Linked DNA regions of Astyanax mexicanus. The protein of the gene in region 1 interacts with the protein of each later gene in a biochemical or structural test. Links are inferred from orthologs where the notes say so. Each region holds a gene or a part of one and is shown in the gene's direction. Other genes may lie near its edges.

Region 1 (7,981 bases):
TGTATTTCATTTATTGTTGATTGTTGATTTATCACTTACAGCCAATGAAAACCCAAAAGTCAGTATCTCAGGAATTTGAATTTGAATATTATATAAGACCAATTGGTACTTTTAGCAGTGTGGGCAGTGTGCCAAGTCCTGCTGGAAAATGAAGTCTGCATCTCCAAAAAAAGTTTGCTGTATAACTTCACACTAGACCTCGAGCAGTTTGGACTGTGTGTCTCTCCACTCTTCCTCCAGACTCTGCTCTCTTGATCTATAAATGAAATGTGAAATGTACTGATGATCAGTGATGGTTTGGAGAGCCATGTCTGTCATCTGCTGGTGTTGATCCACTGTGTTTTATTATCAAGTCTAAAGTCAGTGCAGTTTTGTTTTCCCACAAAATCTTACAGCGCTTCATATCTTACAGATTCCATCTGCCGATAACAACTTTTATAGAGATGCGGATTTCGTTTTCCAGCAGGACTTGGCACACTGCCAAAAGTACCAATTGGTCTTATATAATATTTTAATTTTCTGAGACACTGAGTCATAATCATCAACAATAAAATAAATAATCAATAAAAATAAATCACTCTGTGTGTTATACATCTACATAATTTATGACTTTCACTCATATATTGTTTTATCATCATCATTGCAATATGCCCATGTGCAATAGTCAAATCCCAGGATGTTCGATTTCAAAGATCAAATAAAATGAAAAGGGTCAGGCTTTTTTTTTTTTTTTGCTTGTTTAGTATGAAAGGAATATTCTCACTTGTGAGAGTGTACTATGATTATGACATGACATAATGGATCATGGACCTCTGAAGAAAACTAGTAAAATGTCTGTATTCTGTATATCTAACATTATATAACATATGTAACATATATATATATATATATATATATATATATATATATATATATATATATATATATATATCACAATACAACAAAATATTGTGATATGCAGCTCTAGGTTCTTATCAAAATGATCCTGTTTTGAGAGCATTTAAGCCTTTAAATTGTTAAAAAAGCAGTCTCCCCCTCACATCCACTTTTTTACTATATGCACAAATACACACTAAATTAAACAACACTGTTTATGCTGTTGGAGTCTGATACTCTTTTAATTTAGTGAGTTAATGCTGAAGTTGAGGTACTAGACTAGAAACTAGACTAACTGGACGTGTTAATCCATTGTTGTGCTTCAGGGCTACCACAAAATGTCATATTTCCAATAAAATAAAATTAGACCTTTTGTGTAATAACAGACATAAAAATATTATTATTTACTGTCTATCTCCATTTGTGAGTTATTATTGTTGGGCTCTAGTTTACCAAAAAAATCTTATGGGATGCTAGATAATGTATGCACTGAAGGAGCACCAAATAGCTTATTGGTTTTTAGAGATTTTGAGGTAAAAAGTGGCTTTTTAAGGGAGCACTATATGATTTCTGCCAGTAGATGTTGCACTAGAGCACAAGCATCTTAGCTCAAAAATATGCATCTGTGGAAGTTTAAACATTGCTTTTTCATGCATTTGTGACCTAAAATATATATTATGGTGAAGTCCATATTTCAGTGTTCCGCACTGGCAGGTTCCTGTGTGAACTATAAACTCTGTTACAGTACATTCACATTCATTACCACATTCTAAAATATGCACACATACAGGTATTTACACCCTGCAGGTATTTACAGGTGTGTGTATGCAGAAGGATTAAGCGATAAAGAATGGTCATTTCTTATAGACTATACAAGGATCAAGCTTTTTCTCCATTATCCCAAACCTGGGATGGGCTGGGGTTATTTCTAGATACACACAGACATATTAGTTGAACCATAGTTAGGATACTGTACAATAAAGCAATACATTGTTATAAAAGTTTAGTCTACGTTAAAGTGGCAGTCCGTATTATTTTGTTTCTAAACTGAAAGCAGAAGCATTTCTGAGTGGAGAAGTATAGGGATAAAATATTTTGTATTTTATCCCTATATCCCTGCTAAGCCATATTCATATATTAATTCTAAAAACTGGGGTGTTGGGTCGCTTTTCGCGTGAGTTCTTCTTTTGGCCACGTTACACGTCTTTACATACTTACGTCACACGTACAGCCTCTAAAAGAGGATCCGGCTCAGTTTTACTGAACGCAAGCGGCTGGTGGAGCATTGAAGACTTCAGAAGAGGAAACTCAGAGCTCAGTAGATCAAAACTTACAGACATCAGCTTTAATTGGAAATAGTACAAAATTCATCAGTGCATATTTTAGCTTGCAGGTTATACATTTGTGTTCAAAAAGAATGGCAGATGGCATCTTTTTCATTATTTTAAACATTTTCCTATATTATATATATAGTTTACTTTTTTTTATTATTTTTTTCTTAAATCAAATTTGTATTATTTTTCTATCCAGTATCCTACATCTTTTTTTTAGAGATGAAAAACTTTTAAGTGACAAAAACTGTATCATTTTGTTGAATTGAGATCATCCTGTATTTAGAAATATGCTTAGGTATAATTTATGTATGTATGTATATATATATGTATATATATGTATGTATATGTATATATATATATATATATATATATATATATATATATATATATATATATATATATATATATATATATATATATATATATATATATATATATATATACAGCTATGGAAAACAATTAAGAGACCAAATCAATTCTCTGAAATAGGTATATGTAACAAAAAGATGAGTTTTCAGACCTTAAAAAATGCAAAGAAAGCAAACTTATGTGGCGGCCCCTAACTAGGGGTTACCAGACTACGCCACCCCTTAAATTACTTATTTTATTTAGAGTAAGGGGAACTCTCAAATAAGACACAAGAACTTGACTGTAGTACAAAATACAATGATTTATTTAAAACCGTACCAAAGTCAAATCTACTGTCAGTTTCATTTATTGGGTGAGAGGAAATATATATATAAAAATTTAAGAAAATCACAATTTACCCATGACCACTGGGTCCAGGGTATGGAGAAATATGAAGTCAATCCAATAGGACCAAAAGAACACACGTGAATAAAGTTTACTTAATCACTGCACAGCAAACTTAAAAATAAAATAAACTAAGTACAAAAAAAAAAGAATCACACTTCTAGTGAACAGGACTTAGCCGAATATGGTTGACTCCAAACCCCCAGTCCCAGTAACAATTATAGCCACAGCTAAAATTGACTAATTGTACCATGTGGTTACCACTAGGCTAGAGTCTATACAGAGCACATCATTAAAAACCACAATACTTAAAAATACCTGAGCAGTTAATACACTTAGTGCTACAAAATTTATGGTAGAATAAAAAAATAAAAAAAAGAAATACAAAAAAAGAGCAGAAAACAGCAACTGGCAACCACTGGAACTGTGGCTCTCTATGCAAATACACAAAACACACATTAATACATTCATCACATAAAAACAGTGCAACTTGCATTCAATTACCAGAAGAGACATACCACTTAACTCAAGGTGGAATGCTAACTTCGCCCATGGACAGGGTAGCAGCTTTAAACCTCTATTAGAAATAGATCACACAAAAGCAATTGAAACATGATATAAAACCCATTTTGCATTCTGTTCAGAACATAGAGACATATCTTACCTAAAGTCCCCAAGTGACCATTCTAGAAATGGTACTAGTGTTAAATGTAGTAGTAGCAGTTAAATATAATAGCAGCAACCAAAGCTAAAACACTCAAACTATTACAAGACAGCACATGGAGCTAAAGCAGCTCAAAAGCATAGTGTCTCTAATAATGTACAATTAGAATGCAGCAGACACTTGCCTACTATTACAGAGCATATGGAGACATACATCTTACCTAGAGCCCCCAGATAACTATTCGAAAGAGTACTAGTGTTAACTATAGTGGTAGCAGTTAAATATAGTGGTAGCAACCAAAGCTAAAATAATCAAACTATTACAGAACTTTAAAAAGTGCAATAGTTTAAGCCTACCTGATCAAAAATACCTTCAAAGTTAGTCAGGATAAGTAGGAATTAACAAGCAGCTTAGCCAAGAGCTAACAAACAAACAGAGTGTAAAAAAAAGTTAGTCAGAATAAGTAGTGATTAACAAGCAGCTTAGCCAAGAGTTAACAAACAAACAGTGTAACTTAACCCCAGCATATCATATAATTAGCCAGCCTACCTCTTATATCACGTCGCCAGGCACAAACACAGACTGTTGCTATTTATAGCCACTCACAGTCGCTCAGCCTCGGGCACTCCTGTTCTCACTGAGTAATTCACTAGCTCAGAGAATCGTCTCCAGCCCACGCTGCTACTCGCGTTAGCTTAGCCACACAGTGCTACCTTCAATAGGACCCCCTATAGGTGCGTATATAAGTGCCTGCAGGACCACACTGACTCGCTAATGCTGGCGCCCTAGTTAATGACGTAACTCGTTCACGCCCCCTGCACCTGCACGCATACACACACACACACACACACACACCCACAATAGCTGGCTACACTTATATTAAGAAAGTTTTTTAAGAGTTCAGAAATCAATATTTGGTGGAATAACCGTAGTTTTTAATCACAGTTTTCATGCATCTTGGCATTATGTTCTTCTCCACCAGTCTTACACACTGCTTTTGGATAACTTTATGCCACTCCTGGTGCAAAAATTCAATCAGTTTATTTTAGCTTGATGGCTTGTGCTCATCCATCTTCTTCTTAATTATATTCCAGAGGTTTTTCATTTGGTAAAATCAGAGAAACTCATAATTTTTCCCAGAGATACATGTAAAATAAAATCTTAGAAAGTAACGTAAGATCACTAAACAGTTTTCAGAATGTAAATACAGCAGCCTTCTCCTAAAACCTGAAATCCATGTCAGGTTTTTGCTCCGCCGTCTGTGTGCGCGCTAGACTGAGGTCATATTGCAGCAGTCCGTTCCTTTATGGAGTAAATCCGGTACCGGGGTTTCCAGCCTCCCTATATTGCCCCATTGCCTATCGCAGCGCAGGGTGATGGACTAGTGGGAACAGAAACATTATGGCTGCCAGTCTCTCCCTGACTCAGGTAATAAATACTGATTCTGCGCGTTAATACAGCTTTATCTCCAACAGCTTTAGCCGCTAATCCTCAGCCTGGTGTCCAGCTGTCCGGGCTAGGCGGGTTTTGAGGTTAAACTCTGCCGGGTTTTTGTTTTCTCTGGTTGTTTGTGCAGACAGTGCTTTGGAAAAAGTTTCTAGCTAACAGGCTAATGCTAACTAGCAGGCTGATCTGAGCTGTGGGCTGCGGGAAGGGCGTAGTTAGTGTCAGTTTATAAATGGGTGGGTTACCAGCTTTTATCGCCTTGTTTTCTCTCTAAACTCACTTGGATGATAGCGAAGAACGTTTAATAAACGTTCAGTGCTCGGTTGTACTACAGATTTTGTGTTGAGAATGGATAAACAACTGTTAAACAACCTTTATTTAACGTTAGCTAATCTAGGAAGCTAACAGGCTCTCATAGACATCAGTATCTAATTTACAGCTCTGGAAAAAAGTAAGAGATCACTTCAAAATCTTTAATTATACCAAAATAAAAAACTCTGGAATATATTCAAGAGGAAGACGGATGATCACAAGCCATTAAACCAATCTGAACCGCTTGAATTTTTGCACCAGGAGTAAATGCATAAAGTTACCCAAAATCAGTGTGTAAGACTGGTGGAGGAGAACATGATGCCAAGATGCATGAAAAAACAGGGTTATTCCACCAAATATTGAGTTCTGATCTTTGAACTTTATGAAAGTGGACGTTTTCTTTGCATTATTTGAGGTCTGAAAGCTCTGCATCTTTTTGTAATTTCAGCCATTTCTCATTTTCTGCAAAAAATGCTCCAAATGACAATATTGTTATTTGGAATTTGGGATGAAGGTTGTCAGTAGTTTATAGAATAAAACAACAATGTTTATTTTACTCAAACATATACCTTTAAATAGCAAAACTGAAAAAGAAACTGAAGTGGTCTCTGAATACAACCAATATATAGCTAGCTCCGTATATTTAACCATATAAGTGCCCAGACCCATTTTTTAAATATTGAAACCAATTTCAATTCAATAAGAAGCTAATTTATATGTGTTTGTTACTGTGGGCCATGTCTGTAAATTTAAAATATAATAATAATGTTAAACATACATGACAACAGCATTGAATGTTTGAATACTTAAATGCAAATAACAGTAAATACACTTAAATAAAAAGCTGGTGTAGTTTTATCTCCAGCACTAACCCTAAACCTCTCCTACATTCTGTAATAAATACAAATACATTAAAGCATCCTGTAGTGATTATGTGTAGGTTATGTGTCACAAAGTTGTTAAAGTAAAGAAAAACAGACACAGCTTTTAAAGGATCTGTGACACACATACGTCACCATGGCTTCTTTTGAGACAAGTATCTGCAATAGAGACACTTCCCTTTTTCATGCTTCAATAATTTTTTTCTCTGAAACGTTTTAAATGTGTAGTTGGCTATCTACCTTGCTAATGAACTAGTAAATGCTATTCTACAAAGCTTGGTATATCTTATGTGGGATACAGAACACTGCAATTAGCCACCATGGAACGCTATAAATAATATATTATAACTAATATGCTATAAATATAGTAACTATACGAGTCATATCCTAGCATGAAGCTATAGGTATCAGTATTCTTGCTATTGAAAATCTTGCTTTATTATAGGAAGAGTATTAGTGTATATCTCTACTTTCAACTGGCTAAAGAACTTCAAGAGTTTTTAAAGGGTCTGTGACACATACATCACAATGGGTTTGTTTGATTTAAGTGCCTGCAATAGAATGCTATAGATACGTTCCTGTTTTTATGCTTTCCTATTTGTATGTGTGCGTTTTAGCTATGTTTTCAAATGTGCAGCTGGCTTGCAAACTAGCTACTAAACTAGGCAATTTTGTTCTTTTAAGCTTATTGTATCATATTTGGGATACAGAACACTGCATTTACCATGGAACACTATAAATATGGCTAATAAATATATTTTACATAGAATAGCCATATCCTTGCTTATATCTATAGATGTCAGTACCCTGACATTGGAAATCTGGCTTTAGTATAGGAAGGATATTGGTGCATACAATGCCTATTTTCAATTGAATTTTCTAGTTTAATATTATTAGAATATTACAGTAATAAATTCACATAAATCTATCATAAATTTGCATTTTTTTCGCATATTTAAGAACAACTCGAGCAGGACATCACTTTTTCCTTCTTATTTGGTTTGACTAAGTTTAACCACTTCATGCTCAATCAGACTTAGAAACAGCAATATTCACAACTTTACACATTTATTCATATTAAATTCTGGCTGCTCTGCTTGAATACTGCTTAAATACTTTGATATAAAAAATCTGTTGATATTAAAAATAAGTATAGGAAGGGTATCAGTGCATATTCCTATTTTTAACTCACATTGTTTGATATATGAAGTATGAGAGACATAAAACATTGTGTGTGATTTAGTGAAGCTGTTTCATATTTCATAAGAATATGAGAGTAATAAATACACACATGTATCATAAATGAACAGTTTATTGCATACTTAAGAACAACTCAAGCAGGACATCAGTTTTCTTTTCTACTGTGTTTAACCAATTCATGCCCAGTCAGACTTCAAAACAGCACAATTTACAACTTCAACACATTTAATCATATTAAATTATGTCTGCTCTGCGTGAATAATGCTTAAATGTAAAAAAAATCATTTTTTATCCTTATAAAAGCAGCAGAAGCAGCTGCTCCAGCAATGCTTGTTTACTTGAGTTAGCTTAGCTAAGCTAACGCTAGCTTAGCTTAGCTAGCTTAGCTTATGTAGCTTTAGCGTTTTTGCTGAAGTGTATATATAACTTTTAAAACTATATAATGATTTTTCAGCAAAGGGGAGAAGTCAGCGTTTAGTCAAGTCGTGCCCTCGTGTTTTATGTCGCTTAATTTG
Region 2 (7,711 bases), on another chromosome or scaffold:
AAACGTGATTTACGGTGATAAATCACTGGAGTTCTATATTATAAACAGACAGGTGGATAACTGTAGCTTCCTGGTCTGTCACTTTATTATAGTGACATAATAACAGACACAAAATACACTAAATACTCTATATACTGCACGAGTTTAAGGTATAAACTGGTGTATAGTTGACGTGAATAATATATTTTCTCTGTTTGTATATGTGGAATAAATAAATAAATTAATGAAAAAAAGAAACTATTTATTTTATCTGTTATGTAATTTTATTTAGTTCCTTAGATTAGTCCAATAATAATAATAATAATAATCATAAAAACAGCTATATATTTTTTTCTCCTACATAGTAAATGAATACTGAAGTCATCCAGTACTATGAAGGAACACATAAGGAATCATGTAGTAACTTAATAGTGTTTAACAAACCCTTACTCTCATCTGGGGAGCTATTAACTTGCTGGTTGGTTTCTGAGGTTGGTAACTGTAATGAAATGATCCTGTAGAACAGAAGAAACTCTTGTTCTTCCTTTCCTGAGGTGGTCCTGATGAGAGCCAGTTTCATCATGTTGAACCGACAATTTTTTTTTTTTTTTGCGACTGCACTTCGGGATTCTTTCAAAGTTCTTGAAATGTTTTGGATTGACTGACCTTCATTTCTTAAATAATTTTTTTGTTTATTTAGCTGAGTAGTTCTTGCTTCTCATAATCTGGATTCGAACATTACTCAATATTCACTATTCACTGTATACCTGTAACTCTACCTCTTCACTACTTTACTTTAACTGATGCTCTCAAACACTTTATTAAGAGACAAGAAATTCAAGTAATTAACTCTTGACGAGTTCAGCACAGCTGTTAACTGAAAGCCATTGTGTGATGCAAAATGTGGAAAGCTGTCATCTAAGCAAGAGGTGCTACTTTGAAAAATCTTTTTGAAAAAAATCATATTTTTAATGACTTAATATTAATAATATTAATCTTCAATTTATTTTGCCACTGAATGTAAGGTGTTTCCAAACATTTGACTGATAATGTATAATATACTGTATATTATATTATCTACTTATTTCCTATTTAATATCTATATATTGCTGTTATTGAAAGATTGGTTGATTCCTTCTATATATTGTATTATAAAAATCAGAGTATAGAGTTGATTATTTAGAGAGATGAATTCAGAAAAAATTAAATAAATATAATAAAAATTCTCTGTAATATTTAATCTGTGCAGTTCTGTGTTGATTAAATATTGTGATGTGAGCAATATTTGTACGTTTTCTTTTGGAAGCTGTGGTGAAAACTATAATTCTAAAGTTTCTCTTACATGCATTATAATGCATTCTAAGTAAAGACACAAAACATACGCAATTATCTGTGAATTTGTTTGTTCTTGCCAGAAATGTCATATTAATAACGAAGAATTAGCTAAAGTAGAATATGTTAAAAGTCTGAGAATTGTTTTAAACTGAAAGAGTCTGTAATTTCTAAAAGGTTATGGTGATTTTTCTTTGGCAAGCGGTTTTGCTGTTTATTATTTATTCACCATAAATGTACAGCATGTATCATATCAGTAGCCATGAATGATTAGTCATAAATATTAGTCATGCTTTATTTGTTTAAATCCAAGTGCAATTAGCAGAATTCATTACAAGAAACTAAAGTAAAGCTCAGCTCACTGGTGCCACTTAATCATTTAAGGTTGACTTTTTGTCATGCTTGGTCTTGCTGGTAAACCAGATTTGGTGAAGTTTGATTATACTGGTTATTTAGCTTGGTCAGGTTGATTATGGTAAAAATTTAACCCAGTTTAACCAGTTTGAGCTTCAGTAAGGATGTTCCTGCAGTCATGTAAGTGCTGTTTAATGTTGTTAATTGTATTGTTTCTATCCTATGTATGTACATTTATTTAAGAATATTAGAAATATTATTATTATAAATAACATTGTTCAAATGACTGTTCTTTTCTATTTATTAATAATTATTTATTATTATAGACTACCGGTCAAAAGTTTTAGAACACCCCCAATTATTTTCCCTGGAAATGGTACAACATCTAGTGTACAAAATATTAGTATATTGTAAAGGTGTATTGTAAAAAAAAAAAAAAAAACCTGAAAAATCTAATTTAAAAAAGAGGGGTGAGCTTTAGCGAACAGTTAATTGGTAAACAGCTTACAGCTGGCCCGAATCAATGCAAATAAAATTAGCTTTGAAAATTGATTTTAAAAAATGTTCATTTCCAAAGCTATTAGTGTATTAAATATACACCATTTTTTTAATTCTAAATTCTGGGCATTTAATGTATAAACATAGACTATTTTTATATAATTCTTTTTATTTATTCACAATAATTAATGCTATACATACTGCAAAAAATATAAATCTAAATTAATAACATTTCTTACTCTGATATTATTAAAGTAACATTGCAGTAATTAATAACTTATTTTTAATTTCCTTGTACTTGTTTTAAGTAGAGATGCACAGATGTTTCTGATGTTTCGAATTTCGGGGGCCGATGCTTATATACGATATTATACATTTATGTATCTGCCGATGCAGATACAATACAATTAAGGGTTTCTCCTGAGAATTTTGTTTTCACATTTTTTGGTTTCAGATTTACTTAGCCATTTTTTTCTTAAATACACTGTTAACAGCTTTAAACCCTAATTTTTAATTATTAAATTAAATAAAGCAGTATATGTACTGAAACTAATTAAAAAAAATTAAACACTACCTAAAATAAATGGATTTAAAAGTAGCACAGCCCATTGTAGTAGAATGACCAGCGTCGCTTAATCCTTTTAAAGTTTATGATAAGTACTTAAGGAAAATAGTTTAGAAATGCAATAACTTTTGATTATTCTAAAATGCAAATATCCAAATTATGAAGAAAAACATATTAAATTATTTAGTAAACAAAAATGTATTAAACAAACCAGAATATGTTTTAAATTTTAGATTTGTTAATGTAGCTCTTCTTGATTAGATAACAACTTCACACATCTCTGCTGGATTTTTTCAGTCAGCTTTATGAGGTAGATTCACCTGGATTTCAGGCTTTCAGTTAACAGCTGTGCTGAACTCATCAAGAGTTAATTACTTGAATTTCTTGTCTCTTAATGTGTTTGAGAGCATCAGTTGTAAATAGTGAAGACTAAAGACTACTCAACTAAATAAAGAAAAAAATGACTTTAAGAAGAAATGAAGGTCAGTCAATTCAAAACATTTCAAGGACTTTGAAAGAATCCTCAAGTGCAGTCGCAAAAAAACATTATGATGGAACTGATACTCATCAGGACCGCCCCAGGAAAGGAAAAGCAAGAGTTCCCTCTGTTGTACAGGATGCGTTAATCAGAGTTACCATCCTCAGAAACCACAAGTTAACAGCTCCCCAGATAAGAGCACCTAAATGCTTTTTCACAGGTTTGTTTAACACTTTTAAATTACTACATGATTCCTTATGTTTTCCTTCATAGTTTGAATCACTTCAATATTCATTTACAATGTAGAGAAAGGAAAGAAAAATAACAACATTGTGAGAAGATGTGACAATGAGACAATGAGAACAATGAGAAGATGTGTCCAAACGACTGGCAATGTATGTCTTTTTTTTCTAAAATTCTGACAACCATGCAAAATGAGAAATTTCACATATTGTTCTTAAAAAAGCAATCAATTATACTGATATACTGAATATTCCAAGATCATCGTGCATCTATAGTTTTAAGTGATTTAATGTGCTAAAACGGTCTTATTGTACTGGCAAATAATATTGCTTACTCCAGGAAATAACTGATAATATTTTACTTTTAGTCAAGACATAATGATGAAACAGACACAACAATCTGCCATAGAATAAGACACTTTCAGTAGTTTAAATTATTCAGTAGATTAAATTACTTAAAATGTTATATATATATATATATATATATAACTACTTAAAATAATATATAAATTACTTAAAATCTTTTATATATATATATATATATATATATATATATATATAACATTTTAAGTAATTTAATCTACTGAATAATTTAAACTACTGAAAGTGTCTTATTCTATGGCAGATTGTTGTGTCTGTTTCATCATTATGTCTTGACTAAAAGTAAAATATTATCAGTTATTTCCTGGAGTAAGCAATATTATTTGCCAGTACAATAAGACCGTTTTAGCACATTAAATCACTTAAAACTATAGATGCACGATTATCTTGAAATATTCAGTATATCAGTATAATTGATTGCTTTTTTTTAATAATTGTATAATTATTAAATAATTATACATAATTGTATAATTAATCGTTTTTTTTGTTTAAAATATTCACTTTTGCATGGGTATATATATATATATATATATATATATATATATATATATATATATATATATATATATAACCATGCAAAAGTGAATATTTTAAACTTGAATTTAGAGGAATTTACTAATTCTATAATTGTACACAATATCTTATATCAAATTAAATTAATTTAAAATATATTTAATACTGAAATATGATACAATAACATTTTATAACTATTATTATTGGTAGAATAAATAATAAAATACATGTAATATATTTGTAATTATCTATGTATCTGTGTGTATAATATATGTGTGCTGTCCTTCCTGCCTGCGCGTGCATGTGTGCATGCGCGCGCGCGCTGCTTCCACCTTGAAGTTCGGTGGGAGACGATTCCGCGCTGTATCCTTCCGCCTGCAGTAGAAGTGCTGAGGCTAGGGCCGCCGCCATTTTGAATGTCTGGTCCGTTCCTCCCTCCGTCGCAAACAGAGACGATTCCAGCGCTTTCCTGGTGTCAGTACGGCTGGTGAGTACGGTGTCTTTCGGAACCACAGCGATAAAAGACCCGTTAGGACGGTAATGGAGCTCGCGGCTTCCCGGGCCGCCTCGAAACGGCGCTATTTTAACACTGTCCGCGGCTGTAAAGGCTGAGTAAGGGGGCTCGGGAAGTAGAGCAGCTAAGGCGAGTAACGTTTATTACAGGTTTAAAAAACTCAAGAACGGCGTTTAGCGAGTCACAAACTTAACGGCACGAGTCGGAGAAGGTTGAGTAGGCGAGGGTGCAGTTTTGTACACTTTAAAACGCGTGCTTAGTGAGATAAATCGGTGAAAATAGCGAGCAATGAGTGGCCGTGGCTAATCCAGATCCGTGGATTGAAAATCCAGTTCCGGCGTTTCGTTCTAACTGCGTAAACGGATATGCTGCAGTTCAGCTGCAGCCGACCCGTCGATGTAGTTAGAACGAAATTCCGGCGCGGAGTGTCACTTCACGGACTGGATTTGCTAGGAAAGCCTCTGATTGGGCATCAGGCGTGTCCATACTGACAAACCTAGCTTGTGCTTAGCTTGCTACGTATATTTAAACCTTTTAAACATGCATATATAAATAAATTCGTGTAAAATTAGCTTTAAAACTTGCAGCTTTCTTCATAATAAAAGGCAGCTGCCATCCGGGTAATGTAACGTTAGCTAGATAGCCTGCCTAGGTAGTTAGGTTGCTCGGTTAGTTAGCTGGCTAATTCGTATCCAGTCTTTAGCTATGGTCCCTTGAGGCCTTGCTAGGTAGCTATCTAGGTTAGCTAGCTTGCTATTAAGCACACTTCTCTCTGACAAGAACTAGAAACAAGGAGGAAACGTCAAGTTGAGAAAAGAAGGGCAATAAATGAATTAATCCGTTTTTAAACTGCAGTAAGTTGAAGAAGGTAGCGTTAGGTTAGCTAGCCTAGTTTACTACTAGGTAGCTGACTGCCTAGGCTGCCTAAGTAGTCTTTTTAGTGAACAGTCGAGCTAGGGAACTAGTTAGCTAACTACTGAGCTTGCCTAAGCTGAGGCCTTGTAGCTTACCAGGTAACATAAAGCAAAAAAAAAAAAAAAAAAAAGTTTTTTAGCATTAAAAGAGCAATGAAACACTTCACTCTGACAAGAACTTGGGAACTATGAGCTAGGAGGAAACGTCAAGTTGAGGAAAAGGTCAAGAAAATGTTTTAACCGCTAAATTAATCCGTTTTTGAGATGTAACTTAGTTAGCTGAAGTATCTAAGTTAGCCAACGCATATAACCAGCTAGTTATCTGGCTAATACCATGACACAGAAATATCATGATATTAAAAATTCATATCGTGATAATTGGGCTGTTCTGTCTTAAAAGTAGTCTATTATTTACTCCAAAGCTTTAAGTGTGTTTATTGTATAATTGTTTTAGTTTGCAGTTCATATGCATGCACTAAATTTTCTGCTGTATTATTTGCGGCATTATATTATCTAATGCTATATTATTTATTTTGCCACATTATGATTATACTATTATACTATATTCCTGAAATTAATGAATTATTTTAGTTTTTCTATATCACCAAGTATATTGTTATTGCCAAACAGTCCCTGAAATATCGTGATATTATTTTAGAGCCATATCGCCCACCCCCACTGCCTAACTTGCCTTTTTAAAGCTTAAGCTGTTGGAATGAGTGGACAACGTAGCTTGGAGGCTATCTAGCCTTTGGAGGCCCAATTGTGCACCTTTTTAAAGTAATTTAAAGTGACGGAACAGGTTTTGAGCATTAAAATAGCAATGTTATAAGTGTTTACTCACATTGAAGATCTTTGTCATGTAGTTTTCACAAAAAAGAAAGGGTTCAAACATGCAGATTTCTCCTTTTTAAGAGATCTTTCATCTGAGGTAACAACGACATTAGTTAACGTTATCTAACCTAGTTAGGTTTCTCCCTTTATGTCTTGCTAGTAAGTTATGTTTAGATATCTGTAAGTCAAGCACACTTCACTCTAAGAAGAACTAGAAACTAGGGAACTAGGAGGAAAAGTTGAGGAAAGAAGCTCAAATGTATTAACTACCTAATTAATTTTGTTTAAACTGTAGTTAGCTAAAAGAGTTAGCTAAACTGGCCAGTTAACTAGCTAGTTACCTACCTGTCTAACTATCTAGGTTGCCTTACAAGTTTGTCTTCTTTCTTTGTTATTTAATGTTTTATTGGTTTCAAAGTCATTGCAATTTACAGGAAATTAGCACATCAATCTCAAGAAACAAATTAAAATCTTTTTTTTACAGTGTTAACTTAATATTTAAGACTATATTAAAGTTTTACAGGGACACATGCAGAATTATGTGTGGAAAAACCTAGCTCGTGATTAGGTTAATTTATCGATTAACCTAGCTAACTAACCAGTTGTAAACAAACCTAGCTTGTGCTGAGCTTGATACTTGATAAACCTTTTTATGTAAGTATATATGTATATAAATGTGAATCAAGGTTTCAGACTTGCAGCTTTCTTCATTATTAAGCAGGATTCAGGTTGATTGAACTGTATCTAATCCCTTTCTGTATCCTATCCTTGGCTATGCTCCTTTGATGCATTGCTTGCTAGTTAGTTATTTATCTTTAACTCAAGCACACTTCACTGTGACTGAAAAAGTAGGAAACTTAAGAACTAGGAGAAAATGTCAAATCGAGGAAAGAAGGTCAATCAATTGTATTACCGCTAAATTAATCGGTATATAGCTCACCTATTTAACTAGCTAGTTACCTACCTATCTATCTAGGCTGCCTAGCTAGTTTCTTTAAAGAGGTGGGAATGAGTGAGCTGCCTAGCTAGGGAGCTAGCTAGCAAACTAGTGAGCTAGTCTAAGGCTAAGCTAAGGCCTGCTAGCGAGCTAGTATAGCTCATTTTGCA
Region 3 (6,978 bases), on another chromosome or scaffold:
ACAAAACAGTCAACATAAGACTGTCTGGAGAACTTTTGTCCTGAAGGAAATATATATATTACAAGGGCTGATATATATATATATATATATATATATATATATATATATATATATATATATATATATATATATATATATATACTCTTTAAACATTGCCAAATTAATCATACTAAATTTTGCAAGTGGTAAATTATTATTATTATTTGAGAATTAAATCAACCAAGTAAACTGCACTAGTTTTTTTGTCGTCAAAAGCTTCTTAACACAACAGGTAAAGTATTAAAATGTATTTTCTTAAACCCCAACACAGGTATTATTTAGCATCGAAGGGCAGGACGCGGAGTTTTCCCACCACGATCGCTGAACAGCAAGGGGGGGCGCAAAAAATACACTCTATAAGCCTAAACATATCTGCAGAAGAATGCAGTGAGGTTGGCCCTAGTTTCAGCAGAGCTTGCTGCTTATCACCAGCCCGGTGTCTTTACGGCCCCATGCACCTCTGCTGCACTTTTCTCTGCCCTAATAATTGCTATTGTGAGCGAGTTTCATTTTGCCCTTTCATTAATGACAACTGCTTTCAATGGCTGTTTTTTTACCCCCCACACCAATGATAATAGCTACTGAAATGGAGAAGGCCAACGCCTTAAACCTGTCGCCCATGTGCCTTTTCGCCGTGACCCGGGGTCCCGGGGTGCTCGTGTCGCCGCTGTCGCGGGGCCAAGCCCCTCTCGTCGTCCACTCCCTCATTCACATTTAACGACCGCACGTTGTTGTGTTAATTATTGACAGCTCCAAAACAGCACTCTCAATGGAGCTCCTGTACCTGCACTAGAATCGACCGCTTTGCATAACAGAGACAGCAGCGTCTCGCGGGCTAAGCTTCTCAATGGGTCTAAAACAACAGTTTACGAAAATCCTTGCGCCAACAAAGTATCTGTGGCGACGGAGAGGTGTGCTGGATATTTGCATTGTACCATAAAGGTCACTGATATGCTAAAGAAGAAGCTTGGTTTTGAGAGCTGTCATTGCAGCAATGTTGAATTGCACCTGAAACGGTGCAATAAAAAATGACAGATGCAATTAGATGATAATAATAATAATAATAATAATAATAATAATAATAATAATAATAATAATAATAATAATAATAATAATAATAATAATAATAATAAATGGCCTATATATACTGAAATATAAATATAGATTTATAGTATGTAGTTAAAATATAAATGTTTTTTTTTTGTTTACAAGGTTGGAAATAGTTTTGTTCCTTTTGGTCTCATGCACATTTTTTTCAGCTGAGCTTGCGCATTATAGGTAAACTTGCATTTTGCCAAACTACTTTACAGCAAATACTACTACTAGCTGAAGTGGGGATGTATATTAGATGTTCTCGAGCTCTCACCCAGCAGATAGCCTACTGTACCTCTGTTGGAGTTGGGGAGGAAAACAAAGCTCTCCAAACACTTCAGACTTCAGATCTCTGAGCGAATGTTTTTTTTTTTGTACCTGAGTGTGTTCATTGGTGATGGCTAGATGAAAATCAAGCTGATATGCTAATGAGGGAGTTCTACCAGCGCTGTGCGAGCCTCTAAACTTCCACCATTAGAGGGAGATCTGAGCGCGCGCACTGCTCAGCCCGCCGAAGCTCTGCCATCTTGAGCTCTGCGCACTGGGTGTAAAACTAGGCAAAGACGCTCTATACTCACTTCACAACCCATGAAAATGCTGTGGAAATTAACAGATAATATTAAATATGAAGACTGTGAGGTAAGAAACGAGTTTATTTCTATTTAAGATATTTTTGTTGCGCTTGAAAAAAAATCTGCAGAATTTTATAGTGTATTTCATTATAATTTTTATTTAATAATAAGTAATGCATATCTAAAAGTGTTTCATATTTTTTACATATCTGCACGTGCTTTCGTTATCAAACATGTTCATGATTTTTGTTTAGAAATAATAACAATATAATTAATATCAATAACAATTATTATTGTCTCAATAACAATATTAATATATAATAGTATATATAGTAAATAGTAAATATTCCGGATGATGAAATCATGAGTAATACAGCATTTTTGACAAAAACACAACTTGCAAAATAAAAACCCCAAACACATTTGCATAAATAAACATAGAAACATATTATTAACTTTTTTAAATGCTAATGTCAATGTATTGTTATAATAATTATTATTAAAAATACAATTTTCATTACTATTATTAGCATTGATAGCATTAATATTATTAAGAGTAATACTAGTAAAAATAATAACAATATTAATAATGATGGTGATATTATTATTATTTTATTTATTATTATTTTTTTAATATTATTAATAATAATGTTATTATATGTTACTAAAAAATAAGTGATACTAATCAATGTTATTATTAAGTAACACTTGTTATTTTATTTAGATTTTAATCAATTAATTTTAATGCTAAAAATAAACTACCAAAAATTAGCACGGTGGTTTTGCTGTAGCTGTTTCTTTTAAAGCTGTATCGGTGTGATCGCTCAATTGGAAGGAAGGTTAGGACGGTGCTGCCCGTGTGTTTGTGTGGAGTGTGTGGATTGCTGCAGCCAGTCGAGCATGTTTTTGTTCCCCTACGGACGACAGACACATAAATTTTGACTCTTCTTTCGCACGAATTGTTCAAGCTTGTGTGATTTTATTTATTTGCTCGTTTAATTTAATTTACATCGAGTATTTTTGTTTTTTAAATAAAAAACCCGTGATGAACAGGATCGCGTGCGAATAAGCCGAGAAGCGGAGGGGTGGACGTTTGCTCTGTCCCTGTGTGTGTGCGTGTGTATGTTTTGAGTAAACGTTAAGTCGTAAACTTTGGAGTTTTTTTGGCCAGCTCATAGAGCCAATTCAGCTGTGTGTTGTTAGTCATGTGGCTGAGCTCTCGGGGAGCAGCTTGGGAAGGCCATGCGACAAAAAGAGAAAAGTAGTAAAAAGAGAAGGAACAGCACCAAACATGCTCAGAAATTCCCTAGCCCTCGTCGGATTCTCTTAGCAGTCTGAGGCGCTCGACGTTTTCTTTGCTTCGGTTCTTAGTTGGGTTCCTCTCTCTCTGTCGTTCGTTCTTTCACTTTTCCTCGCCCTCAAATCTTTTAAAACGCCCCCCTCTCTCTCTGATTCGTCAGACGCCAGAGAATGTCCCTCTTTTTGTCTCTCTCTTCCTCCCTCCCTCTCTCTCTCACTCTCTCTCACCCACTCCCCCTCTCTTTCTCTCCCCATCTCTGATTAGATATACTGATTCCTCATTCAATGGACGTCATTTAGTGCGGAGTCTGCCTTGAGTTGCTTCCTCGCTTCACGCTCGATTTCCGACCATTCTTCCCTTATTAAGTATTCGTGTAATATTAATAGTCATGAATATCTGCTATTAGGAGTCCGAGAGGAAGAAGAGGCAGCTCTTTTGCTAAATATGCGCCCAAGCGAGGGAACAGCTTACTGAGAGAGCGAAGGAGGCGAAGGAAAAGAGGATCTAAGAAACTTAAAAAACACTCCGATCCGCCAAGACCCTCCAAACAACAACAACAAAACTGCATTTATTTCTTTTTTTCTTTTTTGAATTTTTTTATTTTGGTTTTGGTTTCCGTCTCCAACAGCAGATGAAGAACATTGGGAATTTTACCCAGGCTCTGATGGATTATCGTGCTTCTTCTCCGCGTATTTGAATACTGGGACTCCGTGACCTCGACGCACAGACAAACAGAAAGAACGCAAGAAAGAAAGAGAAATACATAGAAAAGCCGCCTCAGTGCTGTGGGCTCTTTATTCCGGTTCGACCGCTCCGGCTCTTTGCCCAGGTTTTTGCGTTCTCCTTGCAGAAACGCTCGGAAATCTCTTCAGATGTTAGTGCACAGCTTTTCCGCGATGGTGAGTGAGTGCGGGGCTGGCGGGATGAAAGTGTAGAGAGGACCGTCTTTTTTCCCTTTTTGTGTATATTTATGTCTGCATCGTCATGCAAGCCATAATATCTAATATCAAATACCATTACAAAGACTTTTTACTGGATGTGAGCTCTTGATATTTTTTTTTCAATATTTGAATATATTTTTGTGTGTTTTTTTTTTTTTTTTACAATTTTATGTGTATTTTATGGGAAACGAAATTGATTTATGTAGTCAAAAATTATTGTTATTATTATTATTATTATTATTATTATTATTATTATTATTATTATTATTATTATTATATTAATAGTAGTCGTATCAGTAGTAGTAGTGGGAGTTGTAGTATTATATTAGTAATAATATATTATAATACTATTATTAGTATTATTGTTTGGCCACTATAATATGAAAAAAATCTGATATTTTTTGCACGAAATTCTTTAGAATTCTTGTTGCTGTCCGCCCTTTCTTATTTTCTCTTCTTTCTTCTCTCTCTCTCCGTCTTGCAGGATCGCCATGACGGGACCAGCAATGGCACGGCCCGGTTACCTCAACTGGGCGGTGTGGGTCAGTCACCGTACACAAGTGCGCCACCGCTTTCTCACACGCCCAACTCGGACTTCCAGCCGCCCTACTTCCCGCCGCCCTACCAGCCCATCTATCCGCAGTCTCAGGACCCTTATTCGCACGTCAATGACCCCTATTCCATCAACTCGCTGCACGCGCAACCACAGCCCCAGCACCCGGGATGGCCAAGCCAACGGCAGAGCCAGGAGAGCAGTCTACTGCACCAGCACCGCGGCCTGCCCCACCAACTGTGCCGGGAATACCGCAGAGAGGTTCTGCTGCCGTCCGGCCACGGTCTCGAGACCGGCCTTACAGACTCTATCCCAATCCACGGAATACCTCACTCTTTAGACGACGTGCAGGTAAGAGCAAAACTTCTCGTAATCCTGTAGTTTTGTATTCTAAAGCTTTTTTAATGGTGAAACTGTAAACAATGTATTTGTCTGGAAATAAAAGTTACTAATTATCGGGCCAACAAATGCGTGTTAAAATAGTTTTACTGGTTAGTACTGGTACAGTAAGTAGTGGTGACTTGTATGTATGTATGTATTTAATGTAGGTATGTATTTAATATGCGATTTAAAGGCATTTGAGCCTTCAGAATTTAGATTCTGTGTTTTTGTTAACCTCAACAATATAATATATATATATATATATATTAACTAAAAACTGGAAATTTGCGTTTCTTTAAAATTATTTTTAAATAGCCAGCATGTTTATCTGGACAGAAAATGTGCCAGTGTTAAATCAAAGCTGTCGGTGTTACATTATACACTTTTTAAATTAAATTAGCACTAATAGTGTTGTTTATACACTGGTGAATTTACTGTGTGATTTTGTCTTTTGCATTTTTTATATTTCAAAAAGACTAAAGTAAAAAAGTACTATAATAAGTACTTTATTAACAATCAAATAATTGCACCGTCATCTCAGGAACATAACATGCTATATTGCACATTTTGCTTTAATACTCTCTGTCATTTTTTGGACGTGATTCCTGGTTACCCTCCTCCTCTTCCCCCATTTCCTTCCCCTTTAATTTAATTGTAGTCTGCCCCGTGAAAAAATTCAAGCGAAGAGAAATAACGAGGCTAAATGACGCATTCGACCCGGAAACATTTTTCAGAAATACTCAGGAATAATACCATATATATTCACTGCGTAGAAAACATTTATTTCATTTATCGCCAGGCAGGTGGGATGGGAGAAATAAATAAAAATAATAATAAAAATAACCAGTATATTTAAATCGATTAAAAATATTTTTAAAGCATCGTTGTAATTTCTCATGTATTTGTCTTTTTACAGCTTGTGCAAGAGATAAAGTACAGTTTTATTGTGCTACACATCACTATGCATTTGGTAGTGGACTGTCATAAACAGTGATGAGATTCATTGAATGGTTCCTCGTTTGCTTAGCAATCTGATTTTGCCAAACCAAATAGAAGCCTCTCTACATTCTGAGTGTGTTTTAATGGCTTATTCTGAACTATTTTACAGCATGTTGAGGATCAAGGAATTCACATCCCTGACCAGACCGTCATCAAGAAAGGTATGCGGCTTTTAAAAAAACCCTGCGTCCGTATTGGCTCTGCACAATCTCACCTTAAAAATAAGACTTTTTGCAGGCCTGTTTTTCTAGAAAGTCTATTTAAAAGTCTAAATTATTTGAAATTTGCTACAGCTAAAAATCGCCCTGTATAGCATATCCGTAAGCGTGTGTGTCTGTGTGCATGTGTGTATTAGTGAGTGAGAGAGAGAAAAATGGTGCGTTCTTTATATCGACTAGTTCTGCACCATCATGATTGCATTTAAAATGGCAGCCTTAACGCTGGGCGAGCACGGATTTTTGATACTTTATCCACGAGAACCGTGGTTGATTTTCTAACAGTTTGGTGCTGTAGAGTTGGCTTTGTCTCCTGGTTGGAAGAGAATGAATGCATAAATTGAATCCGGGCAACTCGTTTTATTTTATGTTTTTTTTTTCGATGCGTTTGTTAAATTCGTCGTGGGTGAATATTAAGGGATGTCTTCTTTTTCTCTCCATATCTGCGCCGTAATTGGTTGTTATATTAGCAATCTCCGGAGTTCGCTTAACTGCCATTGTCTCTATTAGCCTCCGCTGAGCCATTAATGTCACTAGTGATCTATCCAAACGTGCGCGGGCCTTTGTCTCCGTTTACCGTGCAACGCAACTGGGCACCCCTGCAAAGATACACTACAACATGCGCTGCTCCTGGGTTTGTTGGGCAAGTGTGTGTGTGTGTGTGACAGAGAGAGAAAGAGAGAGTGTGAAAAAGAGCGTGTTTTATTCCATGTGTTTGTGAACGCGCGCGCGCGTGTGTGTGTCTGTGAGAGAGAAAGAGTGAGGGAATCTGGAAAATGTGCAATAAGCAGAATAGCCTATTTCTGAATGAGGTCTTTTAGAACAGTAGATGGGATGTAAAGATTACTTTTGATTAAATGTGACTGAACGTGACAATTAGTTGATT

What was found.
Region 2: the proteins of eps15 (region 1) and ap1g1 form a complex in vitro, tested with the Homo sapiens proteins (2 studies listed by BioGRID). The link is inferred for Astyanax mexicanus from reciprocal best matches to the Homo sapiens genes EPS15 and AP1G1.
Region 3: the proteins of eps15 (region 1) and tfap2a form a complex in vitro, tested with the Homo sapiens proteins (2 studies listed by BioGRID). The link is inferred for Astyanax mexicanus from reciprocal best matches to the Homo sapiens genes EPS15 and TFAP2A.

Annotation. Positions count from the first base shown.
Region 1 is NC_064419.1:46,970,623-46,978,603, reverse strand, and holds the start of eps15 (epidermal growth factor receptor substrate 15), read left to right. Parts: upstream 1-4,959; 5' UTR 4,960-5,028; coding exon 5,029-5,055; intron 5,056-7,981. UniProt on the Homo sapiens protein: Involved in cell growth regulation. May be involved in the regulation of mitogenic signals and control of cell proliferation. Involved in the internalization of ligand-inducible receptors of the receptor tyrosine kinase (RTK) type, in particular EGFR.
Region 2 is NC_064423.1:38,501,195-38,508,905, reverse strand, and holds the start of ap1g1 (AP-1 complex subunit gamma-1), read left to right. Parts: upstream 1-4,690; 5' UTR 4,691-4,829; intron 4,830-7,711. UniProt on the Homo sapiens protein: Subunit of clathrin-associated adaptor protein complex 1 that plays a role in protein sorting in the late-Golgi/trans-Golgi network (TGN) and/or endosomes.
Region 3 is NC_064408.1:107,714,053-107,721,030, reverse strand, and holds the start of tfap2a (transcription factor AP-2-alpha), read left to right. Parts: upstream 1-3,957; 5' UTR 3,958-3,987; coding exon 3,988-4,041; intron 4,042-4,428; coding exon 4,429-4,848; intron 4,849-5,986; coding exon 5,987-6,038; intron 6,039-6,978.